4 linked regions of the Stegostoma tigrinum genome follow. The protein of the gene in region 2 purifies or fractionates together with the protein of the main gene of each other region. This does not show direct contact. Links are inferred from orthologs where the notes say so. Each region holds a gene or a part of one and is shown on either strand. Other genes may lie near its edges. The genes, in order: DDB1- and CUL4-associated factor 1-like, cops5, BTB/POZ domain-containing protein 2-like and klhl42.

The links.
Region 1: the proteins of cops5 (region 2) and DDB1- and CUL4-associated factor 1-like purify together in Homo sapiens (affinity purification with mass spectrometry; 8 studies listed by BioGRID and IntAct, with this or other methods). This does not show direct contact. The link is inferred for Stegostoma tigrinum from reciprocal best matches to the Homo sapiens genes COPS5 and DCAF1.
Region 3: the proteins of cops5 (region 2) and BTB/POZ domain-containing protein 2-like purify together in Homo sapiens (affinity purification with mass spectrometry; 4 studies listed by BioGRID and IntAct, counting the BioPlex papers as one, with this or other methods). This does not show direct contact. The link is inferred for Stegostoma tigrinum from reciprocal best matches to the Homo sapiens genes COPS5 and BTBD2.
Region 4: the proteins of cops5 (region 2) and klhl42 purify together in Homo sapiens (affinity purification with mass spectrometry; 3 studies listed by BioGRID and IntAct, with this or other methods). This does not show direct contact. The link is inferred for Stegostoma tigrinum from reciprocal best matches to the Homo sapiens genes COPS5 and KLHL42.

What each region holds. Positions count from the first base shown.
Region 1 is NC_081364.1:62,919,702-62,926,532, reverse strand, and holds the start of DDB1- and CUL4-associated factor 1-like, read right to left. Parts: upstream 3,022-6,831; 5' UTR 2,944-3,021; intron 1-2,943. UniProt on the Homo sapiens protein: Acts both as a substrate recognition component of E3 ubiquitin-protein ligase complexes and as an atypical serine/threonine-protein kinase, playing key roles in various processes such as cell cycle, telomerase regulation and histone modification.
Region 2 is NC_081358.1:31,124,307-31,132,028, forward strand, and holds the start of cops5 (COP9 signalosome complex subunit 5), read left to right. Parts: upstream 1-4,703; 5' UTR 4,704-5,044; coding exon 5,045-5,187; intron 5,188-7,038; coding exon 7,039-7,273; intron 7,274-7,722. UniProt on the Homo sapiens protein: Probable protease subunit of the COP9 signalosome complex (CSN), a complex involved in various cellular and developmental processes.
Region 3 is NC_081383.1:17,877,178-17,885,020, forward strand, and holds the start of BTB/POZ domain-containing protein 2-like, read right to left. Parts: upstream 3,012-7,843; 5' UTR 2,814-3,011; coding exon 2,338-2,813; intron 1-2,337.
Region 4 is NC_081371.1:29,036,119-29,043,198, forward strand, and holds the start of klhl42 (kelch-like protein 42), read left to right. Parts: upstream 1-4,067; 5' UTR 4,068-4,445; coding exon 4,446-5,206; intron 5,207-7,080. UniProt on the Homo sapiens protein: Substrate-specific adapter of a BCR (BTB-CUL3-RBX1) E3 ubiquitin-protein ligase complex required for mitotic progression and cytokinesis. The BCR(KLHL42) E3 ubiquitin ligase complex mediates the ubiquitination and subsequent degradation of KATNA1.

The sequences.
Region 1 (6,831 bases), on a different chromosome or scaffold from region 2:
GCTCAAAGCATCTCAACAATATTCCTTTAAAAAAACGGTTGGGAGGAAATAAACTCAATATTTATTGCAAGACAAGATGACAAACAAATTGCACTGAAGACAATTGGGCCTTCTTTGCTTGCCATTTTTATTTGAAATATTATTTTGTTCTACAGGGTAGACTGAAGTACTTATTTAATCGAGGATGAGACTGAAACAGCAGTCTTTTCCATCCTGACCTCAGTAGGCCTCTTCTCTCCTCCCTCACTCTCCACACTTGCTTTCTCTTCCCCCCAACCACCTCTGGTCTCATCACCCGAGACTCTTCACCCACCTCTTTGGAGGAATGAGTCTGCGAAGAGGCAGACTCAGCACCCCATTCCTCAAGTGCTTCTGCAGGCCCACTTCCCCACACAGTCCCTCGTCACCAACTCTGCCACCCCGACACAGTCCCTCGTCCCCATCTCTGCACACCCCACGCAGACCCTCGTCCCCGTCTCTGCCCCCCCCACGCAGACCCTCGTCCCCGTCGCTGAAATCCACCCCCCACGCAGACCCTCGTCCCCGTCGCTGCAACCTCCCCCCACGCAGTTCCTCGTCCCTGCACACCCCCCCCACCCAGTCCCTCGCCCCCGTCGTTGCACCCCCCACCCAGTCCCTCGTCCCTGTCGTTGCACACACCCCACCCCCCCCAAGTCCCACGTCCCCGTCGTTGCACCCCACCCCAAGTCCCAGTCGTTGCACCCCCCCGCCAAGTCCCACGTCCCCGTCGTTGCACCCCCCTGCCAAGTCCCACGTCCCCGTCGTTGCACCCCACCCCAAGTCCCACGTCCCCGTCGTTGCACCCCACCCCCGAAAGTCCCACGTCCCCGTCGTTGCACCCCCCCGAAAGTCCCACGTCCCCGTCGTTGCACCCCCCCGAAAGTCCCACGTCCCCGTCGTTGCACCCCCCCGAAAGTCCCACGTCCCCGTCGTTGCACCCCCCCGAAAGTCCCACGTCCCCGTCGTTGCACCCCCCCGAAAGTCCCACGTCCCCGTCGTTGCACCCCCCCGAAAGTCCCACGTCCCCGTCGTTGCACCCCCCCGAAAGTCCCACGTCCCCGTCGTTGCACCCCCCCGAAAGTCCCACGTCCCCGTCGTTGCACCCCCCCCGAAAGTCCCACGTCCCCGTCGTTGCACCCCCTCCACGTCCCCGTCGTTGCACCCCCCCACGTCCCACGTCCCCGTCGTTGCACCCCCTCCACGTCCCCGTCGTTGCACCCCCCCACGTCCCACGTCCCCGTCGTTGCACCCCCCCCACGTCCCCGTCGTTGCACCCCCCCCACGTCCCCATCGTTGCACCCCCCCCACGTCCCCGTCGTTGCACCCCCCCGTCATTGCACCCCCCCCACGTCCCCATCGTTGCACCCCCCCCACGTCCCACGTCCCCATCGTTGCACCCCCCCGTTCCACGTCCCCATCGTTGCACCCCCCCCCCACGTCCCACGTCCCCCGTCCCCATCGTTGCTCCCCCCCCACGTCCCACGTCCCCCGTCCCCATCGTTGCTCCCCCCCGTCCCACGTCCCCATCGTTGCAACCCCCCCCGCCCCACGTCCCCATCGTTGCAACCCCCCCCGCCCCACGTCCCCATCGTTGCAACCCCCCCCGCCCCACCGTTGCAACCCCCCCGCCCCACGTCCCCATCGTTGCAACCCCCCCCGCCCCACGTCCCCATCGTTGCAACCCCCCCCGCCCCACGTCCCCATCGTTGCAACCCCCCCCCGCCCAAGTCCCACGTCCCCATCGTTGCAACCCCCCCCGCCCCACGTCCCCATCGTTGCAACCCCCCCCGCCCAAGTCCCACGTCCCCATCGTTGCAACCCCCCCCGCCCAAGTCCCACGTCCCCATCGTTGCAACCCCCCCCGCCCAAGTCCCACGTCCCCATCGTTGCAACCCCCCCGCCCAAGTCCCACGTCCCCATCGTTGCAACCCCCCCCGCCCAAGTCCCACGTCCCCATCGTTGCAACCCCCCCCGCCCAAGTCCCACGTCCCCATCGTTGCAACCCCCCCCGCCCAAGTCCCACGTCCCCATCGTTGCAACCCCCCCCGCCCAAGTCCCCATCGTTGCAACCCCCCCCGCCCAAGTCCCCATCGTTGCAACCCCCCCCCGCCCAAGTCCCACGTCCCCATCGTTGCAACCCCCCCCGCCCCACGTCCCCATCGTTGCAACCCCCCCCGCCCCACGTCCCCATCGTTGCAACCCCCCCCGCCCCACGTCCCCATCGTTGCAACCCCCCCCGCCCAAGTCCCACGTCCCCATCGTTGCAACCCCCCCCGCCCAAGTCCCACGTCCCCATCGTTGCAACCCCCCCCGCCCAAGTCCCACGTCCCCATCGTTGCAACCCCCCCCGCCCAAGTCCCACGTCCCCATCGTTGCAACCCCCCCCGCCCAAGTCCCACGTCCCCATCGTTGCAACCCCCCCCGCCCAAGTCCCACGTCCCCATCGTTGCAACCCCCCCCGCCCAAGTCCCACGTCCCCATCGTTGCACACCCCCCACCTCAAGCCCCACGTCCCCATCGTTGACCCCCCCCTAAGCCCCACGTCCCCATCGTTGCACACCTCCCCACCCCGGTCCCACGTCCCCCGTCATCCTCTTCAAGCCACACTGCTTCCCCAACCCCGTCCTCCTCCGGATCCTGTCCTCCTTCCAGTCTCTCCCCACTTTTTCCCTCCAACTCTCTGTTCTTGTTGTAGTTTCCTCTCCCTCGCGGACCGCTCCGGTTCCCCCCCCCTCCACCTCCTCACGTGTGGGCCCGGGGCCTCAACCACGGCCGGCTGCGGCTTCCCCTCTCCCCCCGCTTACGGTGAGGCCTCGCTCCGCCTCCCCGCGAGCCGAGAGGGTGTGGGGGCTACCGTTTGGCTGCCCTGCTGCACCGCCGGAGACTACGATAGTAGCGATCCCCGGGCGGGTTCCCACTGACCTGGCTGTCTAGCAGCGATGAGCTCGGTCTGTATCAGCGTCAGGCCCTAGGCTCCACGCTCCCAGTGATGGCGGCTGTGACGTCAGTTCGTTGCTGCGTGTGGCCGCTCGGCATTCTGGGGCTTGTAGTCCAGGCGTTTGGACATCACTGCGCCTGCGTAGCATCGTCGTTTCCCGACGTGGCGTGGAGCATCGTACGCGCAGTGGTATGGTCCTTACTTGTGGACCAGGAGACCGTATTTGCTGCAGATGTGTGTGCACCGGCTTTATTTTTAAAAAGTAGCAGAATTTACAACTTTGGCTGTAGTTCAGCCGAATTTTATTCTTTCTTCACTGTAGGTATGTAACCAACCTGTTTGGAAAACTTCAGAAGCAAGTGGCAGTTGAACCCAGTCCTTCAGAGGTGGTAAGTACGCTATCCCTGTGCCAATTCCTGTTTGCAATCTGAATTTGCCACATGGCGCTCGTTGTTGTCTTTCAATTGTGTTAGAAAGGGTTTAGGGTTAGGAGCCTTGCAGGCTTGGAGCTAGTCCCTTTCAATGCGAGGTCATGCCTTCCCCGCCCTTTCAAGGCGCCTTAAAAAGATTGTCTGGCTCCATTCCAAGTGAAACCAATATTTGTCGCCAGCCAACTGCAATCAAAATGCAGAAAAATGAAAATCATTAATTAAAAACAGACTGGTTGGTAATCATAATGTTTTTAGTCCTGTACTGCAAAGTATGTTGAGTTTAACTAAACATTAATTTTATCTAAGAAACACATTGAGGCTTTATCTGGCCTGGAGGCTGTGAGAAGATAATGTGACAATTCATTACTTTTTTATTGAGGCTGCTTGTATATCGCTAGTATATCATTCATGCTTCATTTTCCCATAATGGATATCACTTTTAGGTGTCTGGCAGTGAAGGGCAAGTGCTGTAAACTGGCTTATGTTTTCCATCTGTACCTGAAACAGCATAGTTTCCAGTCCTACAGAAGATGCATTTGTAGCAATTACAGTTGGTAGCAATGGGTTGGAGTGACCAGCATTAATCATCCCTAATTGCCTTAAGTTTGTTATTAATTTTATAGCAACTTGAACTAAGCTTTCTACTTTAGTACTGAGTGGGTGTTCAGATAAGTGGGGTATGGATGCTAGGGCAGTTGCTTGCTCCTCCTGCAGAATGTGGCAGCTGGGAGACATGGCACACGTCTCCACTGGCCACATCTGCGGGCAGTGCACCCGACTCCAGCTCCTTGAAAACTGTGTTAGGGAAATGGAGCTGGAGCTTTTTGAACTACGGATCATTCGGGAGGCAGAGGGGGTAATTGAGAGGAGTTACCGGGAGTTGGTCACTCCTAAGGCTCAGGACAAGGATAGATGGGTTACAGTTAGGGGGAAGAAAGGGGACAGACAGACAGTGCAGAGATCCCCTGTGGGCATTCCCCTCAGCAATAAGTATACCGCTTTGGATACTGCTGGGGGGGGATGACCTACCATAGTAGTCAGTTCTCTGGCACTGAGCCTGACACTGTGGCAAAGAAGGGAAGGGGGCAGAATAGAAAAGTACTCGTGGTAGGGGACTCGATAGTTAGGGGAATCGACAGGAGATTTTGTGGTCAGGATCTGGATTCCCAGAAGGTATGTTGCCTCCCTGGTGCCAGGGTCCGGCACGTCTCCGATCGGGTGTATAAGGTTCTAAAAGGGGAGGGCGAACAGCCAGAAATCGTGTTACATATTGGCACTAATGATATAGCCAGAAAAAGGATTGAGGATATAAAAAGTGATTTCAGGGAGTTAGGATGGAAGCTGCAAAGCAGGACGAACAGAGTAGTGTTCTTTAGTTTATTACCGGTGCCACGAGATAGCGAGGCGAGGAACAGGGAGCGGGCGCAGCTTAACACGTGGCTGCGCAGCTGGTGTAGGAGGGAGGGCTTCGGATATGTAGATAATTGGGATGCCTTCTGGGGAAGGTGGGACCTGTACAAGACGGATGGGTTGCATCTGAACTGGAAGGGGACCAATATCCTGGGTGGAAGGTTTGCTCGAGTAGTTCGAGAGGGTTTAAACGAGTATGGCAGGGGGGTGGGAACCTGAGCTGTCTCCCGGAGGTGAGAGTTGATGCAGGTGAGGCAATAGCAAGAGGTAGACCAGCTAGTGGGAAGGATTTTCCTGGGAAGGAACCAAGGGATCGGTTAAAGTGTGTTTGCTTTAACGCAAGGAGTATCAGGAATAAAAGTGATGAACTTAGAGCATGGATCAGTACCTGGTGCTATGATGTTGTGGCCATAACAGAGACATGGGTTTCTCAGGGGCAGGAATGGTTGCTGAATGTTCCAGGGTTTAGAGCATTTAAAAAGAATAGGGAGGGGGAAAAAGAGGAGGAGGTGTAACACTACTAACCAGAGAGGGTACCACAGCTACAGAAGCTTCCTTTGTCGAGGAAGATCTGCGTACCGAGTCAGTATGGGTGGAAATTAGGAACAGCAAGGGAGTAGTCACCTCGTTAGGGGTTTACTAAAGGCCTCCCAACAGCAGCAGGGAGATTGAAGAAAGCATAGGTCGGCAGATTTGGAAAAGTGTGGACGTAGTAGGGTTGTTGTAATGGGTGACTTTAACTTTCCCAATATTGATTGGAACCTCCTTCGAGCAGAAGATTTGAATGGAGCTGTTTTTGTAAGGTGTGTTCAGGAGGGTTTCCTAACTCAGTACGTTGACAGGCCGACGAGGGGAGAGGGCATTCTAGACTCGGTGTTCGGAAACGAGCTGAGGCAGGTATCAGATCTTGTGGTGGGAGAGCATTTTGGTGATAGTGACCATAACTGCCTCACATTCTACATAGCTATGGAGAAGGAGAGGATTAGGCAAAATGGGAGGATATTTAGTTGTGGAAGAGGAAACTATGATGCGATTAGACATGAGTTAGGAAGCATGGACTGGGAGCAATTGTTCCATGGTAAAGGCACTATAGACATGTGGAGACTGTTTAAGGAACAGTTGTTGCGAGTGATGAATAAATATGTCCTCTGAGACAGGCAAGAAGGGGTAAGAGGAAGGAACCTTGGATGACGAGAGCGGTGGAGCTTCTCATCAAAAGGAAGAAGGTAGCTTACATAAGGTGGAGGAAGCTCTAGAGGATTACAGGCAGACAAGGAAGGAGCTCAAAAATGGTCTGAGGAGAGCCAGGAGGGGGCACGAGAAAGGCTTGGCAGAACGGATTAGGGAGAACACAAAGGCATTTTACACTTACGTGAGGAATAAGAGAATGGTCAAAGAAAGAGTAGGGCCGATCAGGGATAGCATAGGGAACTTGTGTGTGGAGTCTGAGGAGGTAGGGGAAGCCCTAAATGAGTTTTTTGCTTCTGTCTTTACGAAAGAAACGAACTTTGTAGTGAATGAAACCTTTGAAGAGCAGGTGTGCATGCTGGAATGGATAGAGATAGAGGAAGCTGATGTGCTGAAAATTTTGTCAAACATTAAGATTGACAATTCGCCAGGCCTGGACCAGATTTGTCCTTGGCTGCTTTGGGAAATGAGAAATGCAATTGCTTTGCCACTTGCGAAGATCTTTGCATCCTCGCTCTCCACTGGAGTCGTATCTGAGGACTGGAGAGAGGCAAATGTAATTCCTCTCTTCAAGAAAGGAAATAGGGAAATCCCCGGCAATTACAGACCAGTAAGTCTCACGTCTGTCGTCTGCAAGGTGTTAGAAAGGATTCTGAGGGATAGGATTTATGACTATCTGGAAGAGCATGGCTTGATTAAATGCAGTCAACACGGCTTTGTGAGGGGCAGGTCATGCCTCACAAACCTTATCGAGTTTTTTGAGGATGTGACTAGAAAGGTTGATGAGGGTCGAGCTGTGGATGTGGTGTATATGGACTTCAGCAAGGCATTTGATAAGGTTCC
Region 2 (7,722 bases):
TTCTTTTTATCCATGCCTTGCTGCTCAAAACAGCTGCTGGTATAATCCTTATGTATATTCCTGACTCTGGTCCCTTGTCCTTCAAAATTTCACACAGTCCTTTCAGGTACAATATGTGCAACTTATCATACAAGCATGGATTAAACAGAAAATTCATTTTTTATTGACCTTAACTCAGTTAACTGGTTTCAGTCTGAAGATAACGTGGCCATTTTAATGCAGCCGTGGAACGTCTATTTCATATGGTTTTCTTTGCTTTAGTCTGTGATTAGATGACACAACAGCCATTTTAGATTCATTTTTGCCCTTTTAAAAACTGTTTTTAATCAATGTGAGGTATGGTAATTAGATGATAGAAGCTGAATATTGATGGTCCACTTTTATTACATTGTACATGACATTTGCATTATTAAACAGAAAATGCCAATATGACTATGGTTACAAAGATTTCACATTTAATATTTTTTGAGGACTTGATTATTAGAGGATTGTGAAAAATTGACTTGTTTGAAGTTCTGTGGTTGCCTGGATTGTTAACTTTTTCTAAAAATAGAGGTTGCACTAGAATCTTTTTTAAATTTACGCATTTATTGGACGTGACATGGTTTCAGTTAATTGATGGGCTTGTCTGCTGGACATCACTTACCTGAGTTTTATAATTACCAATGGTCTAGTTTCTGTGTTAACATTGTTTTGCACAAAGTTGGTGTCCAGTCTGCTGAAGGAGAGAAGCTTCTCAGCTCAACTCAAATAAACATAAAGAACTGCAGATGCTGGAAATCTTAAACAAAAATCAACAGTGCTAGAGAAACTCAGCAGGTCTAGCAACATCTGTTGAGAGAAAAATAGACTTAATGTTTCAGATCCAGTGACCCTTCATCAGCACTATGCATCCTTACCTGTTCTAGAAAAGTGATAGTGTGCTGCTGATTTGAATTACAGTGGACCTTGCGATGTAGGAATTCCCATAGCGCTGTTATAAAGGGACTTTCAGAATTCTGACCCATGGCAATTAAGAAATGTTTACACAGTTCTAAGCCAGGATAATGTGTGGCTTGGAGTGGAACTTGCATGTGGTGGTCCCCATGCATCTGCTGCCCTTATCCTTCTGGATAAATTGTGGATATGGAAAGTACTGTCAAAAGGAGCCTTTACAAGTTACAGGAGTATATCTTCTCGATGATGCACATTGCTGCTACTACATTGGTAGTGATGGAATGAATATTGAACATGGTGGATGGAATGTCAATCAAGAGGGTTGCATTGTCCAGGATAGTCTCAAACTTCTGGAGACTTGTTGCAGCTGCACCCATTCAGGCAACAGGTGATTATTCCATTATTCTTTACAATTGTGCTTTGTACATGCTGGACAGGCTTTGGGGAGTTAGGAGGTGAGTTACTCTCTGACCTGGTTTTGAAGTCTGGTTCAATTCAATTTCTGGTTTATGGTAACCCCTAGATTGTTGATAGCAATGGATTCAGCGATGGTAATGCTAACGAATGTTGAGCAACACATTTTCTCTTTTTGGAGATTGTATTGCCTGACACTTGTGCAACTATTATTTGCTACTTACTCAAGCCTTAATGTCTCAAATACCAAGAACTCAAAATTCATTGGTTGCATCAATATCTGAGGAGCTGCGAGTGGCGCTGAACATTGCGCAATCATGGGCAAACATCTTCCGACTGACTTTATGATTTGCAGAAGGCAATTGGTAAAGCAGCCAAAGGTGGCTGAGCATAAGCCACTACCCTGAGGAATTTCTGCAGTGATAACCCAGAACTGAGATGATTGACCTTTAACAACCATAAAATTCTGTCGTCGTGCTAGTTATGATTCCCACCACCTTGGCTCCATGTTGCCACACTCAGAACAAAGATGCCTTGGTATCAAGGGCAGTTACTGTGGTCTCTGATATTTAGCTCTTTTGCCCATTTTGGACATAGGATGCAGGGACTCAGTAACCCTGTTGAAACCCATGCTGAGCAGACTATTCATTTAGAAGTGCAGTATGGTGGCCTCTTTCATGACTCCTCCCTTCACTTTGCTGATGATAGAGAGTAAACTAAAAGAGCAGTAAGTGTCTATGTTGGATCTGACCTCTGTTTTTGTGAACAGGACATACCTGAGCATTTTTCCACATTATCAAGTAGAGGCCAGTATTTTGCAACAGTTAGGCTATGTGCCAGCTAGCTCTAGAGCACAAGTCTTCACTATGATTGCCAGAATATTGTTAGGGCTCATAGTTTTGGCAGTATCTAGCATCGTCAGCCACTTCTTGATATTACTAGAATAAATTTAATTGCTTAAATTCTGGTAACTATAACACCAGGATAGATCATTCACTTAGCATTTTTGGCTAAAGATGGATGCTCCTTTTGAACAGATGTAGAGCCGGGAATATTTGTTTAATTGTCCACCACCATTCAAAACTGGATATAGCATGACCAAAGGGCTAAAAGCTGATCCATTGGTTGTACAATCATTTAGCCCTGACTATTGCATGCTTCTTCTGCTGCTTGGTATGTAGGTACTCTTGTGTTGGGCTTCACCAGGCTGACATTTCCTTTTTAGGTATGCCTGGCGCTGCTTTTGACATTCCATCTTGGGCGCACGGTGGCTCAGTGGTTAGTACTGCAGCCTCACAGCACCAGGGACCCGGGTTCAATTCCAGCCTCGGGCAACTGTCTGTGTGGAGTTTGCACATTCTCCCCATGTCTGCGTGGGTTTCCTCTGGGTGCTCCGGTTTCCTCCTACAGTCCAAAGATGTGCAGGCTAGGTGGATTGGCCATGCTAAATGCCCATAGTGTTCAGGAGTGTGTGGGTTAATAGGGGAATGGGTCTGGGTGGGATGCTTCAAGGGGCAGTGTGGACTTGTTGGGCCGAAGGGCCTGTTTCCACTCTGCAGGGAATCTAATCTAATCTAAAAAGCCTTCATTGAACCAGATGCAAGTCCTCAGCTAGAGTACATTCAGTGCTGGACAGGTTTTGGAGAACTGGACGCAAGTTAGTCGTGACAGAATTCCTAGTCGCTGACTGGCTCTAGTAAACATAATGCTTATATGGCCGGTCCAGTTCAGTTTCTGGTTTATGGTAGCCATAAGGTGGTTGGTTAATGGTGGTAATACCATTGAATGTGATGATTGGATTCTCTCTAGTTGAAGATGGTCATTGCCTGGAAATTGTGTGGTGCAAATGTTACTTGCCACTAATCAACACAAGTGTGAATGTGTCAGATATGAAAAACATAAAATCGTACACTGGCTGTGTCAGTATCTGAGGAACCACAAATGGTAGTGAACATTGTGCAATCATTAGCACATATCTTCTTTATGACCTTATGATGGATGGAAAGTAATGTATCCTTGCCACCTCCGTGCTTCCTCTAAATGGTGTCCAATGTGGCAGATAACAAAGTGTGAAGCTGGATGAATACAGCAGGCCAAGCAGCATCTCAGGAGCACAAAAGCTGACATTTCTGGCCTTAGGTTTGTTATCTTGGATTCTCCAGCATCTGCAGTTCCCACTATCTCTCCAATGTGGCAGAGTTTTGATTCATCAGCCAAAGGAGAGATGGTAGGTGGTAATCAGCAAAAGCCTTTTCTGGTCCATGTTTTATCTGATACCATGAGACTTCGTGGGACCGTGAGTCAATGATGAGAATATCCAGGGGGACTCTCCCTGGATTTTATAAATCCACGCTGCCTCCTCTAGTGAGTCTGACCTTCCAGTATGATAGGAAATAACTCAAGTATGGTGGTGGTGGTTGTGTCTGGAATATTGTCTGTAAGGTTTGATTTCATGAGCATGACTACGTCAGGTTTTTGCTGTACCAGCAATTTTGGCACACGTCCTCACGTCAGTAAGGTGTTTGCAGATTCAACAAGGCTGGACTTGCATTGTTGCTCATGGTCCCTGCATCCCTAGTTTCATTCTTTTCTTTTGACTTTGTAGCAGTTTGATACAACCAACTGTCTTGCAAGGCCATTTCAGAGAGCACATATGAGTCAGTCATATCTGAGGAAGGTTCAGTGGACTCAAAAAGTTAACTCTTGATTTTTCTTCACAGATGCTGCCAGACCTACAGTTCTTCCTGAAACTGCTTTTGTTCCTGATTTACAACATGTGCTGTTCTTTCCGTTTTTATGAGTCAGTTGTGTTGGTTTGACTTATATATTGGCCAGACCCAGATAAGAATGACAGATTTCTAGCCCTAAAGGGCATTTGTGAACCAGAAGGATTGGAATGCTACTGGTGATTTGCTATGTTCTAATGATATTTTAATATAACTTATGCTCTGAAGGTATTTTCTACCCTTCTGTTTTGGTGGTCTCCAATTTAAATCAAAAGAAACAGTAATATCCTAATTATAAGTACATAAGAACAGGACAGCGCCGTTGAGGTCCTCACGACTGCCCTGCCATTTCATACTCATCATGGCCTCCAACTCCCTTTACAGCCTGCTGCCCGTAACTCTTCCTTACTTACTAATTAAAAAATTGTCTATGTCCTCCTTAAATTTATTCAACATGCGGCATCCATCGCACCCCAGGCTGGTGAATTCCACAGATTCACCGACCCTCTGAGTGAAGTTAATATGAGCTACTGTCGTCCTGGTGCGAGTTCCTCGCGTTCATCATAATATGAGCAGATCGTCACAGTCACATTTCCAGTCGGTTATTCCACTCTCCTCCGCCAGAGGGCGGCGCACTCGCTGACAGCTCGGGAGACCTTAGTGGCAGGCGCCCCGTTGATCTTAACCTGCCGTTAAATTCGGCGAACAAACGAAAGTCGGAACACAACGCGTTGGCAATCTACCCTAAACGACATTTTTAATTTAACTCGCTTGGGTTATTTGGTCTGATCTGCACCCTCCGCCCCCCTGTCCCCGGGGGCAGCGTGGTGAGTGGTGCCGGGCCGGAGCTGTCGCCGCTTGGAGGGGGCCTGGGCCTGCGCGTGCGCCTGGGCCGTTGACGGTTCGGTTGGTATTTGGAGGTGAACCTTCAAACCGGTGAGGAGGAGGAGGCAGGTGAAGGGGAGAAGATGGCTGGTGCGAGTGGTAACGTCGCGCAGAAGACTTGGGAACTGGCGAATAACATGCAGGAAGTTCAGAGCATCGATGAAATCTACAAATACGACAAAAAGCAACAGCAGGAAATCCTCGCGGCGAAACCCTGGACTAAAGAGTAAGTCTGTTACTCCTGACAGAATCAGAGGAGCAGTCAGAGATCCTTTTGTAGGCCCGACCCTTGTTATAAAATAATTATGCCCAAAAGTAACAATCCAGTCAGTTATTGTTAATAACAACATCGTCAGAAAGTGCTTTGGGATAAATCTTTAATACAAAAGGATAAAGTAATTTCCTCATGAACACAATTTGTAATTTTTAGTACCTCCCTGTTTTATTCTGTATTAGCATATTAGAACTATACGTCCTAAACTTTTCCAGCAAGATTGACTTTAGCAAAATACAAGTGACTGCGAATGCTGGACATCTGAGAAACTCAACAGGCGTGACAGCATCAATGCAGAGAAAGTACAGAATCAATGTTAGTGTGGACTCGAAACGTGCACTTAGTTTTCTGTCCACAGATACTGCCAGACTGACTTTACTGCTGCGCCACCAGCTCTGTAAATGTCTGATTATTCTTATTAGTCAATAAAAGACATACAAGGGCATAAGACAAGTCCAGTGACTTTCTTCAGCACTGTGTTTTGGCAAGAGGATTTTTTTTAAAAAGGGAGCATTTGAATGGTTAGAGATTGCAGAACTCGGAGATTCAGAGAGAGCTCGGTGACCGTTGTATTACTCACGAAAGGCTAGTATGCATGCACAGCAAGTAATTAGGAAAGTTCATATGGTATTATTTATTGAAATGGGAATTGAATAAAAAATTAGGGTGCTTATGCTTATTAAGTACTGGTGAGAACACATCATAAGTACTGTTTATTAGACTTGTCTCTTATGTAAGCAAGGTTGTAAATATATTGGTAGCAGTTCAGACTATCAACAATCATTCAGTAACGAAGGAAGTAAATCACTCCAGTTGCACAAAAATTACATTGGCTACTTTTTTTGTCAACCGGTGAACCAACATATAGCAATTATATGCACACTTTGAATTTGGAAGTTGACAATTTGCCTAATTAGTTATTTATAAGTCAGATATACTGTAAGAAAGAAATTGCATTCATTCAATGATATTCATGACTTCAGCGCTCCCTAAATATGCTACAATTGATGTAGCCCTTTCTACAGTGTAATCATGCTTATAACACAAGAAACTCTGTCAGTTTGCACACGACAAGTTCACATAAAAAGTCATGCCCACAATGACCAGGTGGTTATGTTGGTTGATGGATAAGTATGAAAAAAAATCCTGCACTTGTATATTACCACAGGATCTTTCACACCTGCCTGATGGGAAGGTAGACAGAGTCTAAATCTGAAAGACAGCATTGCGAATAATGTGTGATGTGAGACCATTTCCTTCTGGTTCTGATGCCAGAGTGCTTGCCACTGAGCCACTGCTGACTGCTGATAGCCAGCACTGTCTATGCCCACCTCACCACCAATCCGTGGACTAAAATACAAAATATTTGTTAGATATTTTTGTATGGTAGTACTGAGGGAGTTTTGCAATGGGTGTGAAGTTAATTTATTTCCCATCCATCTGTCCAAAAAGCATAAAGAAGGAAGAGCAGCGAGTTGCCCCAATTGTAGTTGATGTTCTTCCCTTCACCAGCACTACCAAAAACTGTCTCCCTGTAAATTGCTATTTGCAAGAAGTTGGTGTATGTAGTTTATCTACATAATGAGTAAACTATATTTTTATTATTTTTCATTTTAGCAATTATCTTCATATATTAACTGAATAATATTGATAACCTTTATGTATATTGCATTATTAAAATTTTGTTTTCTATCCATTGATATTTTAATCTCTAAGATTTTAGTGTGAATGCAAGAGCCTTGTGACTGTATCAGCAAGGTCAATTGCTACATTTTTCTAATTATTGTAATATGTGCTTTCCAGTCATCATTACTTCAAATACTGCAAAATCTCAGCTCTTGCACTTTTGAAGATGGTGATGCATGCCAGATCAGGTGGAAATTTGGAAGTGATGGGCTTAATGTTGGGTAAAGTGGATGGTGAAACAATGATCATAATGGACAGTTTTGCTCTCCCTGTGGAAGGGACGGAAACAAGAGTCAATGCTCAGGCTGCTGCATATGAATATATGGCTGCCTATATAGAGAATGCTAAACAGGTATGTTAAATAAATTTACAGGTTTTACAACTTCCAACTCCTGTTCTTTTAATATGTTAATAATGCAAAAAAGTTGTTTATTTTCAGGTCTTTTAAAACTTTTTTAGTAACTGGAGTATCTGTCTATGCTTAGTGTAAACTTTTCAACTCTGTGCACAACTTTCTGTTATTAGGTTTTGGTCATGATAATTGCCAACTTTTTCCAGTTCTGAATATGCAAGTTTCCTTTGTTTACATTTTATTTTAGCATTTGTTTATTTGAACATGTCATTCTGCCAATCTGGTGACTGGGTTTTTGCAAATCTCCTCCAAAATTTTTATAGAATTTTTTTTTCTCTCCCTTGCTGACTTAAATATCTATACCAGAGTAAGAGTTTGAAAAACAAAATGAAATCTCATGTTTGCCTGGTTGCATTTATCCATTAAATTATTTTTGATCACTTAATTGC
Region 3 (7,843 bases), on a different chromosome or scaffold from region 2:
GTCTGATTGGGCTGTCAGTTTGATCTCTCATCAGAGATACACATCTGCAGGCGATTTAACCAGAGGGTCACCATGCCTCAGGTAAGGGGAGAAGTTGAGAAGGACAGTCCTTCAAAGTAACCTCAGCAAGTGTAAGGGTTGAGCCAGTGCAACTGATATCACATCATCGCAAACCAACTGTCTGAGCTAACAAACTCTTAAAACAGTGGTTTGATGGGTAAATGTGCTATGTAGTGATGAGCTACACTGAAGAGAAACTACTTAATTGCTAGGATAAAAATGGAAGTTGCCGGAAAAGCTCAGCAGGTCTGGCAACATCTGTGAAAAAAAAATCAGAGTTAACGTTTTGGGTCCAGTTACCCTTCCTCGGAACTCAACTGCTGATCTGAGCTGAATTCTGTCAGAACAGTGACTAGATTAATAGTAGTCATCAAATAATAGCTGCATAGACACTGGGTGAAAATAAAATGTTTTTTACATTTTCACCCAATCAGGCCTAATCTAATTCACAACTGGAAACAGGAGCTTATGCTGTGCCCCGACGAGGATAGTGCTCACATGAATTATATCCTGGTGTACGTCACCGCTTTCCGAACAAGAGGGCAGAACATTGTGGTTGACCAAGAACTCACTTGTAACTTCAAAGCATTCTTTTATTTCTCCTAACAGGGATCAGTTATACAAATATGGTTACAATTTTAAGAATAATGCCACAAAATCCGCAAGGAAGCCAGAGCAGGTAAAAACGGTAGAAGGAAGTGACCCATTCAGGACTTTTCCAATGGTGTCACACTCACCTGAACGAGTCTGGATTTCAACTCAAGTGAAATTTAATTTCCACCAGTTGCTGTAGACTGAAACAAGTTCCCCAGAGCATTAGTTACCACCATGCTACCATCTCCCATGTATTGTTAAGTGATTAGAAAATGAAAAAGTCACAGGGGTTCTTTTTCAGGTTAACCGCTGCCCTCCTCTCCCTTCACTGGTTAGGATGCATTATCTGGCATTTCAGTTCCAGCTGACTATTTAATAGTACACTACTAGAAAGCGTGCATCAACATTAGGCAAGATCAGGTTCAACTGCAGAACAACCTAGCAACACAATGCCACAGCTCAGACAAAAAAAATTACATGTATTACATACAAGCCCTCATGTGATTAATGCCACCATTCCAGCACCACAGACAACAGATATTGTAAAAATAACTTTGAAAGCCTGGGACCAAATAACCAATGGTTTAAGCAAGAAAGCTGTACAGATTTGATAGTCCAAAATGTCACTTTTCAAAGACAGTAAGGGCTCTATAATGTCAAGTTGTGCATCATTGCACAATATCTCACTTGATGATGCGCACCAACAGCGAGAAAAAAAAAGACTGTAAAACTCACATGTTTGGCAAGAGTTATGATGTGCATTTTGTATCAGCTGCGTTAAAAACAGGCAGCTTAAACAGACTTGTCACCTAAAATTTGTGAGCTACAACTTAAAGGGTGAGGGGGGGGTTAACAGAAATCTGGAAGCAATTAGATTTTTAATTCCAAATATTAATGCATCAGTGGAAAAACAACTGGGTGGGGCAATAAGCAGAAATCTCTGCCCCCTTTAAAATAAAAAAAATGTTGCTGACACTTGCTAAAATCCAAGCGTAAAGCAGATATTGAGCTTTTCACAGGAATGTAGTTTGATTAGTCTTCTGACTGAAGAGGTGCAAAAGCTTTCAATACTCTGCGGTGCATTAGCCATCTTGCCTTCATTCTGTCGGCGTAATGAGCACTGAAAATGAGACCCTTTCAAGGTCCACAAACCAAAAACGAAATACCCAGACGTACAGCTGCATCATAGGCGCAAAACATAACCTCGTCTCCCCGAAAACCCGAAAGCGATGCGATGCGATGCAATTTTAGTACCTTACAAAGGACAAGTCTGTCTTAAGCTAGTCCCCATTTACTCAAGAAGGCATCACCACCAACTGGATCAGCGCAGCTGCAACCTTCCGCTGACTATGAATGAAGCCCCGAGGCTACAAAAGTCCAGCCTCCCCCACCGCAAAACACCAACAAAAAGGGCGTGAACCATCTTATAAAAACTCAGACTGCGCCTTCCCGACTGCGAGTTTAAACATAATACTTTGATAACATCTTTAAACACGCGGGGAGGGAAACGCCGTAAATATGCCGGGGGGGGGGGGGGCAATAAAAGAAAATAAAATAAGACTTCTCCAGTACTAAAGGACGGGCCGGCATCCGTCTTGGAGCGGAGAAGATCTAGATAGGCCTCAAACCACGGCGTAAGTTTGATGAATAACCGCCCCTCCCCTCCCCTCAGGCCGCACTCACTTAAGGAGGGCAAGGAAGGCGGCGGGCTCGACGTCGGGCAGCTCGATCTCGGTGGAGGTGGTGGCCATGCCGCCGTTGAACATGGCGTCGAAGACGGCGCTGCCGACGGCCAACACGAAGCGGTGAGCGGGGATCCGCTGCGTCCCCATCCCCTTGCCCACCAGGAAGTGCACGTCGCTCAGGATCTCGTTGTTGAACAGGAAGGCGAAGCGCTCCTTCACCGTCGTCTTGGTGGCCTGCCAGTTGTACATGGGCTCCCGGCAAATGACTACAGCCGCGGCCGCCGCTGCTGCTGCTGCCGCCGCCGCCGCCGATCCTCCACCTCCTCCCGGCCCGACCCCGCCGGACAGCGAGGAAGGCGGCGAGGAGCTGGTGCCCAAGCTCGGGCTGCCCGATCCACCGCCACCACCTCCGCCGCCGCCATTAGGGATGTTGACTCGGTTACAGGCGCTGAGGTTGCTCCCTCCCGCCGCCATCTTGAAGTGGCATCTGTTTACAAACAGCAGCTGCTGAGAGCATGGCCCTCCTTAAAGCCAGATCAAAGTCCCCACTTAATACAACTCCCTCCTCTGGAATATTTCTCCAGTTTAATCACAAACATAAATACATATGTCCCCTTAAAAAAAACTAACCCCATCTCCTTTTGCTAAAATTAGCACTTGTAAATCCACTGGTACTCAACAATTCTATACTGGTTGCTGTTATTACAGCATCCCTATCATTTCTCTGTTATCTATGCCCCTTTTAATTACAAATAATGATTTATTAATCTTATTCACCATATTAATATACGGGATGATAAATAACTTTGCCCCCCCCACCTTAATTATTAATTGTAAATCCACTGGTAGTCAATAATTCTATTCTTGTTCCTGTTGTTACAGTTTTTTCTATACATCTCTCGATTAGGTGTGCCCTTTTAATTACAAATAATAAATAACTAACCATATTTATCATGTCAATATGTAGGATGATAAATGACTTCAGCCCCATTTACTGAAATCATTACTTGTAAATCTATTGATACTCAATAATTCCATTCTCATTGCTGTCAGCACAACCTCCCTCCAATCTCTCCATTATCTCTGCCCTTTTCAATCACAAATAAAGAATAATTAACCATATTTATTATTTTAGAATGTGCAATGATAAATGATTTTGGTCCCTTTGCTGAAATTATCATTTATCCACTGATATTCTTTTCTATTAGGTAAACAACACTCGTGTATCTACTTCTGTTATGTCTGTTCTTTTCAATAAAAAATAAATATTATGAGCCATATTTATCTATTCAAAAGTTGAAAGTTCCCTCAACTCCATCTACCGAAATTATTGCTTATAACTCCACTAGTGTTCTGTTTAACTCGATTCTGATTCAACTCTAACATCATGTCTATCAACTGCATTCCATTTAAGTATAAATAATCATAAATCTTTATCATTTTAATATACAGGATAAATAAGTGAGCTCACAGCTCCCTTCTTATGAAATCATAATATGTAAATCCACTGGTGGTCGATTTAATAAATGCAAAAAATTGCAGATCCTGGAAATCTGAAATAAAACACAAAGTGCTGAAGGAACTCACCAGGTCTCGCAGCATCCATCAAGGAACAATCAGAGTTAACAAGTTGAGTTGGAAGAAGACTCATACTGGACATGAAATGTTAACTCTGTTTCTCTCTTCACTGATGCAGCCATTCAATGTAATTTACTTCGTGTGATAGGATATTCACAGTAAAAAGGCAAAATTAATGGGTCTGAAACATACAAAGTATGCAGCACAAAATAATTGAATTAATGACACAAATAGTGGTTAATGGTTATGACTTTATAGCCATTATGGGCACATGGTTACAAAGAGATTTATGCTGATGTCTAAATATTCAGGGGCTTGTGACCTTTTGAAAAGACAGAGAGACAAGTATGGGTGGTGGGCTAGCTTTGTTATTACAAAACAGAACACTAGCTGTTTTGTAGCACAAAGAATAAATCAGGAGATGATGAGTCCATGTAAAAAGAGGCAGGGCATTAATCATGGGTGACTTTAATCTTCATCTTCTCTCAATCTTCATGTAGATTGGGAAAATTGAATTGGCGGAGTAGCCATGATAGCAACTATGTGTGATAGTTTTCTGGAACAATAGGTTGTGTTCATTGAGACAATAACATGCAGTCTAGATAAAGGGGAACCAGTTGTTACATTTTGGATTTTGAAAGAGCGTTCACTAAGGTATCATACATAGGGCCACTTAATAAGGTAAGAACCCGTGGTGGTGGGGCTAGTGTATTAGCAGGGATAGTAGATTGGTTAACTAACCGATAAGACAGTTGTGATCGAGAGGACATTTTCAGGATGGCAACCTGTAAGAAGTAGAGTGCGGCAGGGTTCAGTTCTGGGGCTACAATTATTTACAATATATTAATGACTTGGATGATGCTAGTGATTGTACTATACCCAAGTTTGCAGATGACATAAAAGTAGGTGAGAAGGCAAGTGGTGAGATATGCAGGGATTTAGACAAGGTAAATGAATGAGCAAAAACTTATTAGATGGAATATAATTTGGGAAGAAATGAGATTATGCACATTGGCAGGACAAATAGAAGAAGTGAATATCATTTAAATGGAGATAGACTGCAGATAGCTGAACAACTTAGGGATGTGGGAGTCCCAGTGCATGAATAAGAAGAAGCTAGCACCCAAGTACAGTGGATAATAGGGAAGGCAATAGGGCAGCACAGTGGCTCAGTGGTTAGCACTGCTGCCTCACAGCGCCAGGGACCTGGGTTTGATTCTAGCCCGAAGCAATTGCCTGTGCAAGGTTTGCACATTCTCCCTGTATCTGCATGGGTTTCTGCCAGCTTCCTGTCACAGTCCAAAGATGTGCAGGTTAGGTGGATTAGCCATGCTAAATTTGGCCCATGCTGTCCAGGAGTGTGCAAGCTGGGTGGATTACCCATGGGAAATGCAGAGTTACAGGGATATGGTGGGAGGCTGGGTTTGTGTGGTTTGGAAGGTCAGTGTGAACTTGATGGGCTGATCTGTCTCTTTCTGTGATGTAAAGATTCTGTCATTCAAATGGAATGTTGCCCCACTCAGGATGAATTAAATATAAAAACAGGGAGTGTTTGCTAAAATTATAAAAGGGACTAGCCAGACCACAGACCTGTGGAATACAATGAACAGTTTTGGTCCCTTTATCCAAGGAAAAATATGTTGGCATCAGAGACAGTCCAGAGGAGGTTTACTAGCTTGACCCTGGGTATGAAAAAATTTTCTTGTGAGGGTAGGTTGAGTAGGTTGGGCTTGTGTTCATTGGAATTTAGAAGAATGAAAGGAGACTTTACTGAAATGTTTAAGATTCTTAGGGGATGAGATAGGGTCGCTGCAGACAGTTTGTGTTCACTTGTGAGAATGTCTAGGACAAGAAAGGCATTATCTCAGCGTAAGGTGTGCCCATTTAAGACAGAGAAAATGAGGAATTATTTTTCTCTCAACTTACCAGAGAGGGCTGTCAAGGCTGAATTGTTTAATTTAATCAAGGCTGAGATAACCAGATTTTTAATCCCATGATCTAACTGAATGGTGGAATGGACTCAATTGACTGAATGACCTACTCATTTTTCTTAGGGTCTTATCCAATATTAAGCATGGTATTTTTACTGAAGTTCTCAGGTGTGTTTGATTACATGTGGTACACATTGGACTAGCCAAGTGAAAATTGGAAATCAACAGGAAGTTCCACAAACCAGAAAAAAAATGAAACTGAGGCTATCAGTTTCCAAGTTTGTCTTTCCCTGCATTGCAGACTCAATTTTTCACTGGGAGGTTATCCATTTAATTGAAACACTTCAATGGATGACAGGCTTTCCCTGCAATGTTAGCTTTTAGTGCAACCGGCTGAGGATCAGAAAACCTGGCATCAGCTCTTTTACAACTGCCTGTGGCCATTAGCGGAAAGGAAAAATGTAGTAATTAATCACAGTATAGGAGTGGGAGTGGCCATTTAGTCCTGTCCTGTAATTTAATAAAATCATGGCTGATCTGTGAACTAACTGTAAATGCTCAATTTTAATCTATACCCCTGAATAGTTTGTGGTTAACAAATTTCTGCTAGGCGGTTTAATATCTTGATCTATCTAATATCTTGTTTAAATTTAACAAATGCTTAACCTTCAATTGCCATGTAAAATTGACCATCCAATGTGCAATAGTTTCTTCAGCCTGCCCCTTCCTTATGTGCGTCTGTTAATAGACCCTATCTCATGTTTGAAGACCTCTGTAGATTCTGTGCTTAATGATCCCATTGTGTACATCTTCTACATATAAAGGTTAGGGAGGATAGTCTAACCCAATCGCTGAATTGCACCTTACGTCTCTCATCCAGCTACAAAAATGGCACATGCCAGGTATTGTAAATATAAAATCTTGTGCACATGATACACAATTACATTTTCTTTGTTGGGATAGTTTCAGCAGAGGTCAAACATTGTTATGATTTCATTTCTCATATCTCTATGTATGAACATTGTGGCCACGTCATATTCTAGCTTAAAAATGCTGATATAAACATTCCTGTCCTCACAAGTGTCAGCCATTGTTGTCATATTAACACTGCACACTGACAGACTTTAATTTTCAACACTATGTCGTGTAAAATCTGTACTTTTTAACATTTGTTCTCGGCACGTGGATGTTTGCTCTGCCAATTCACATGGTAATGGCGATGGTGGGAAGTTGTGAGGTTCTGCTGTAGCGACCAACTTCGGTGAAAGACACAAAAAGAGACAATCAGACGTCCTGTCAATATTAAAGCAAGAGTTTGGAAAACACTGTGGAAATTCTACCATGGAAGGGTCGAGAGACTAGTACATAGAGCATAATGAAGCAGTTGAGGTTTTCTATTGATCAGTTTCTGATGTCAGTCCAGTAATCATTGACTTAATTAATACAAAAACAGAAGCTGCTGGAAAAGCTCAGCAGGTCTGGCAGTATCTGTGATGGGAAATCAGAGTTAATGTTTTGGGTCCGGTGACCCTTCCTCAGAACACTGGACCCAAGCTAATTTTGATTTCTCTCCACTGATGCTGCCAGACATGCTGAGCTTTTCCAGGAACTGATTTAGAGCATCCGTAGTTCTTTTGGGTTTTATAAACTTAGTTGAATTCAATTATATGGTTTGAAATAGGACTTGAAGTCACTACCTGTGAGTTAGTAGGTCAGTTTCACTATCACTACACTACAGAACCTGTTAGTGTTTTATATTGAATATATGTTGTGGACATGATATGAGCTGAGGAAAGCAGACATTATTTTCCTTTTTTAAAAAAATACTGTACATTTTAAAAATGCATTATCTTTTTTTAACTAACCTGCTTAATTTTAGATCATTGATCTGTTCAGGTAAACCATCCAGTAATTTAGTTTGTGCTAGTCTTTGAGTTCTTTTAACTCAATGTCTTACGCAGCTATTTAGCTGCTTCCAAAGTGTTAAAGAAGCAT
Region 4 (7,080 bases), on a different chromosome or scaffold from region 2:
TTTTAATTAACTCCATTTCGCATTATCATGATTTTATTAGCATGATGTGGAATAGCAGTAATGTCATTGGATTACATATTTAAATGGAGTTATATCACAGTATAGAATTAACCCCTTCAAAATGCTCACAGATTGAATGCTTCAGATTCAACAGACAGATATAATCAAGCAAGTCAAGGGTACTAAGTCATGTAGTATGACTATGTAATGTGACCATATGACTGTGTAATTTGATATAGTCTGGGAAGACAATTTTTTTTGTGTTCATTTGTGGGCTGTGTATGTCACTGGCTGGCCAGCATTTCTTGCCCATCCCTACTTGCCCATGAGAAGATGATGGTGAGCTGCCTTGTTGAACTGCTGCAGTCCTCCTGCTGTGAGCTGACCCACAGTGCTGCTAGGGAGGGAATTCCAGGATTTTGAATCAATGACAGTGAAGGAATAGCAATATATTTCCAAATCAGGATGATGAGTGGCTTGGAGGGGAACTTGCTGGTGGTGGTGCCCCCATATGTCTGATGCCCTTGTCCTTCCAGATGGAAGTGGTCATGATTTTGGAAGGTGCTGTCTCAGGATCTTTGGTGAGTTTCTATAGTGCATCTTTTAGATAATACACACTGCTACTACTGAGCGTCGGTGGTGGAGGAAGTGGATGCTTGCAGATGTAGTGCCCATAAAACGGGCTGCGTTGTCTTGGATGGAGTCCAGCTTCTTGAGTGTTGTTGGCAAGTGGGAAGTGTTCCATCATACTCCTGATTTGTGCCTTGTAGATGATGGACAGGCTTTGAAGAGTCAGGAGGCGAATTACTCGTCGCAGTATTCCTAGCTTTTGGCTTGCTCTTGTAGCTGTATTTCTGTGGTGAGTCCAGTTGAGTTTCTGCTCAATGATAACCCCCAGGATGTTGATAGCAGGGGATTCGGTGATGGTAACACAATTGAATGTCAATTGAAACACAATTGAATGATCTTATTGCATTTGAACATGGACTGTTCATTATCTGAGCAGTCACAAATGGTGCTGAACATTGTAATAAAATGTGAGGCTGGATGAACACAGCAGGCCAAGCAGCATGTCAGGAGCACAAAAGCTGATGTTTCGGGCCTAGACCCTTCATCAGCTCTCTGATGAAGGGTCTAGGCCCAAAACGTCAGCTTTTGTGCTCCTGAGATGCTGCTTGGCCTGCTGTGTTCATCCAGCCTCACATTTTATTATCTTGGAATTCTCCAGCATCTGCAGTTCCCATTATCTCTGGTGCTGAACATTGTTCAGTCATCAGTAAACATCCTCACTTCTGACCTTATGATAGGAAGGAAGGTCATTGATGAAGCAGCTGAAGATGGTTAGGCCTAGGACACTACCCTGAAGAACTCCTGCAGACTTGTCCTGGAGCTGAGATGATTGACCTCCAACTACTACGATCATCCTCCTATGTGTCAGGTATGACTCCAACCCAGATACCCAGTTTTGCTCAGGCTCCTTGATGCTACACTTGGTTGAATGCAGCCTTGATATCAAGGGCTGTCACTCTCACCTCTCCTCTGGAATTCAGCTCTTTTGTCCATGTTTGAACCAAGGCTGCAATGAGGTCAGGAGCTGAGTGGCCTTGGCAGAACCAAAATTCAGCGTCACTGAGCACTGACAGTGGCTTAGTCGTAAAGTTACTGGTCTTGCAATGTAGAATCTCAGGCAATGCTCTGGGGATCTAAGTTCTATTCCCACCAAGGCAAGTGGTGAAATCTGAATTGAATAAAAAAAGTGAAAAGCTAACCTCAAGGCAATGATGTAACCATTGCTGGTTGTCATAAAACCTGCTATCCTTACTAGATCTGACCTTACCGTACTCCAGACACATTGCCAGAAAGAATGGTAGCAGCAGATTTATATCGCATTACAAAGGGAATTGTTTGTATATTTTTGAAAACAATCCAGGACACGGGGAAAAGGGCACGTATGACTAACTTCATAACTCTTCAAGTAGTTAACACAGATGACAATGGGCCAGAAAGCTTCCTTCTGAGCTTGTGATCCACAACAGCATTGTCATCCAATTCTGAGCTCTTCAAAAAAAGCCCTGATTAAATTGGTGAAACAATGCCTCTGTTTTCAAAAGCCATAGTTGTATTCTGTTATAACAGCTGAAGTTTCCAAAAGATCATGCAATGATCATGCAGTATGTCTCTAATAGAAACACAAGATACAAAGACAATAGGAGCAGGAGTATGCCATTCAGCCTGCTGAGACTGCTCCAACATTCAATATGATCATGGCTGATCATCTAACTCAGTACCTTGTTCCTGTTTTCTCGTCATAACCGTTGATGCAATTAGTTGTCTCCTTCTTGGAAGCACTCAATGTTTTGACCTTAACAGCTTCCTGTGGCAGAGAATTCCATAGGTTCACCACTTTCTGGATGAAGAAATTCTCCTCATTTCAGTCCTAAATAGCCCACACAGTTTCCTTAGACTGTGACCTGTGGTTCTCCAGAACATCCTTCTTGCGTTTATTATGTCTAGTCATATTAGAATGTTATAGACTTCTACCAGATCCCCCTCATTCTTCTAAATGCCAGTGAATATAATTCTCACTGATCCAGCCTCTCTTCATACTTGATCATCTCACTACAACTTAATTTTCAGAAATGAATAATGTCATGGATTATTTTCACCATAATTTTCTCAAAGTGATAGCTTCAGTTTTAAACTTGGGAAGCTATTTGTCAAAGGAATTAAAGGAAGTTAATCTTGGGATTTTAGGTTATATTTTCTGATGTTCAGATAACTAGATAGTCTCAAGATCAAACAATAAAATAACAGTAATAAACTCAGAAAGGGGATAATTTAAGACCTGACATGCCACCTTGTCCTCTAATTATAATGATGAATTTATGTTGCTTACCTGGCAAATTTAAGTTGCTCCATTTAATGTACGGAGGTAAACGTTCATTGAACTGAAAGATTGACTCTTTTTCTCTCTCCACATATTCGCCTGACCTGTTGAGTATTTCCTGCAATTTCTGTTTTATTTAAGAATTCCAATACCTGCAATATTTTGTTTCTGTATCCCTGCTGCTTTATGCAAACTTCTGTTCTCTGTATATCTGTATAAATATTCTTTTTATCAACTCCACGACTTGAGTATGTCTTTCCAGCTGACATTAGGTGTAGCAGTAAAATTGCTGAGGTGTCATATTTCAGACGAGACATTAAACGAGGTAACAAAGTGCGGAGATAACACAGTGTGAAGCTGGATGAACACAGCGGGCCAAGCAGCATCAGAAGAGCGCAAAAGCTGACATTTCGGGCCTTTATCTCTGATACAACATTCAACGAGGGTCCGTTTGCTTGCTATTAAGTAGATGCAGAAGATTCTGTAGCGAAATGTTATCCCTCAACCGTCAGCAGCAAATAACAGTTATTTGAGGGACCTTGCGCTGTTTAAATTGCCTCATTACCGTGGTTATATTTCAAATGTTACCATTATTTATGAGAAGCCTTGAGAGGTGAAAGGCTAGATATAACACAGGTTCTATACTCGCTCTTGTACCTAAAGTCAACGCTCACTTACTTCCTTTATTACAAAGTATTGTGATTTACATAATGGAAAAAGTCATTCCTGACTCTGTTCTCTTAAACTAATGCCTTGGCTTTGTACTGTCGAAACTGTGGAATGCTGTCTTTGTACACGGTGGCCAGTACCCAAAGCAGTGCTCAACGTGTGATCTTGACAAGGCGAACAGTTCCATTTCTAACACTGCAAAGTTATAATACGATCTTCAGGATTTCTGTTGTCTATAGGTACATACTGAGTGTTTTTTTTAATTCAAATAAAGTCCATATAACAATTTATTTATCTTTGAAACAGCTGGGTTTTTATTTTATCAGTTGGTCGACTCTGTTTAAAATCCCATTGCATCATAAAAAAGGACGCGGTACCACATCTGTAAAAACAATCAGAACAATAATATACTACTGTTTTTGTTTTTAAATACACCGTTGCCAGACTGTCACAAATGATACATGTAACTCCGCGCAATATTTCATGCGCAGTCAGAGCGAGCTGAGTGCCTTTCAAAGGTAAGATGCGAGAGGAGCAGAATGTGCTGGTTGTTGCCTTTTGCAGTCCGAGATTGGCCGTTGTAAACGGAACAAGAAGTGACGATACAAAAATGACAAGGAAACGAGATTAAAGAAACAAGCGAGCAGGCTGTGAAACTTCAACCGAATATGCATAGAAACCGAGTAAGCATTTAGTGATTGCTTGCACTGTGTGCAACAAGGTCCTGCTGTTATATTACACTGGACACGGCAATGTTAATAAATCTACTGAAACGGGTGTTTTGTCTGATGTAGGCCCGCGTGCAGATCCGAATAAATATAAATAAAAGCTGAACCTGCCCGCTGAAAGAAAACAGACTGTATTCATTCAGTCCTCATCTGCTGATACGATGTCCTCCGAAGAAATCATAGCTATCATAATAGACGATAAGACGTACAATGTCAATAAGAGTAAGTTAATTGAGAAAAGCGATTATTTTAAAGCCCTGTATAACTCCGGGATGAAGGAATCTGAAGAAGATTCGGTGCAGCTGCAAGGCTTGAGTGCGCATGGACTGGAGCTCGTCATTGAATTCATCAACACTTCCAAAGTACATTTTGATAACGAGACCTTGGAAGATTTAGTGGAAACAGCGTCGTTTCTCCAGGTGTCTTCCATCTTGAAGCTGCTCCTCTCTGAGATTAAGGTGGATAACTGTGTGGAGTTATATAAACTTTCTGAAATTTACGGAATCGCTGATCTGAGAAAGGCCTGCCTCAAGTTCATGGTGTGTCATTACCACCCAATGCTGAGGAGGCAGGAATTTAGCCATCTACCCAAGACTTTGCATCAACAAGTCAGGGAGATGCGCCTTAAAGGCACAGCTGTCTTGGTGGCAGTAGGGGATTTCTTTAGCACCTCCTTGGATCAGTCTCCTGATGAGGCTTGGTCAATGCTGAGATATGATGAGGTTGGACAGAGATGGCTACCCTTGGCAAACAGCCTCCCTCATGACATGGTGAATGTGAGAGGCTATGGTTCCACAGTGCTGAATAATTACCTTTTCATCATTGGTGGATACAGAATGACTAGTCAGGAGATCTCGGCTGCACATTGCTACAATCCTTGCAAAAATGAATGGAATCAGATTGCACCAATGAATCAAAAAAGGTACAAAGCTGGTAATCACTTAGTTCACTCTCACCACAGTGTGATATCAGAAATACAAACCGCAATTGCTGAAACAAAAAACGTGCAGGTCTGGCAGCATGCTGGCAGATGCCAGAACTGGTGAGATTTTTCAGCAATTTCTGTTTGTGTTTCCAATTTCGAGCACCTACAGTTCTTAGTTTCTTTTTGTGCTGTCAGAAATATTATTTCTCACATCGCTTCGATAACCAACAACCTTCGTTTTTTATAGACAATTTATATCTGATAAATGTCAGTTTCACAAATGACATAAGAAAGTTTATAAATGCTTGAAATAATCAGAATCACCATGACCCAGATCTTTTATCAATCTATTTTTGATAATGGAGCAGAATTTTTACCAAAGCATTTCCAACCTGTGAAAAGCTCATGAAGTGGGGATTCCCCTCTCTCACAAAGGTACAACTAGTCTCTTAATGCTGCACATTTCAAACAGGCCTTATTTGTAGTAATAAAAATAGTAAATCAGAGCACTTACAATGTCTTGATTGGGTGTCATCTGCAGTTGGTAGAAGTGGGGAGACCTGTGTACTAACCAGTTAACGCATCATTCAAAAAGCCTACAGTGACCAACTGTTTGGTGCAGGCTTAAGGGGCTAAATAGCAATTCCTTCTCCAGTTTCTTATGTTTTTAAGTAGCAGTTACTTCAGTATTTGGGATAATTAACAAGTGTTATAGACCATTTTTCTTTCATAAGTACAGCACACTGGCTTCTTAACTAAAACAAAATTAATTGAAACAATGTTTTGAAGTCCAGTAAATGGGTTGAAACAATGTTGTGATGGCACTCCAACATTGCACTGTTCTACCACTGATGAACATTAAATATAGGAGCATAAGTATTCTATTCATACTTTTGAGCCTGTCATACAGTTATAGAGTCATACAGTTATACAGTACAGAAACAGGCCCTTTGGTCCAACCAGTCCATGCCAACCATACTCCCAAACTAAACTACTCCCACCTGCCTGCGCTGGCCCATATCCCTCCAAATATTTCGTATTCATGTACTAATCTAAATGCCTTCTAAATGTTCTAGCTGTACCTGCATCCATCACTTCCTCCGGAAGTTCATTCCGCACACACGAGCCACTCTGTGTAAAATAAAAATTGCACCTCATGTCTTTTTAAAATCTTTCCCCTCTCATTTTAAAAATATGACCCTAGTCTTGAAATCCCCAATGTTAGGGAAAAGGGACCTGCCATTCATTCAACTTATCTATACCCCCTCAATGATTTCATAAATCCCGAACTTGTCTCCTCAACCTCCTATGCTCCAATGAAAAAAGTTCCAGACTAGCCAGTGTCTCTTTATAACTCAATTCCTCTAGTCCCAGCAACTGGTAAATCTCTCCTGAAATCCTCTCTAGCTTAGTAATATTCTTCTGTAACCGGAAGACCAGAACTGGACACAATACTCCAGAAGAGGTTTCACCAATGTCCTGTACAATCTCAACATAACATCCCCATTCCTATACTCAACGGTCTGAGCAATGAAGGCAAGCATGCCAAACGCCTTCTTAACCATCTTACCTATATGTGATGCAAACTTCAAAGAATAATGTACCTGTACCCCTTGGTCTCTTTGTTCTACAACCCTTTGGATAAGTACATGAATAGGAAAGGTTTGGAGGGATATGGGCCAGGAACAGCCAAGTGCGACTAGCTGAGTGTGGGATTATGTTTGTCATGGCCTGTTTGGACTAAAGGGTCTGTTTCCCTGCTGTATGACTCTGTGAGTCCTACTTTGAGTTGTGTAAGTCTTTGTTTGTTTTACCAAAATATAATAGCCCACATATATCCAAATTAAAATTCATCTGGCTGTCTTCAGCCC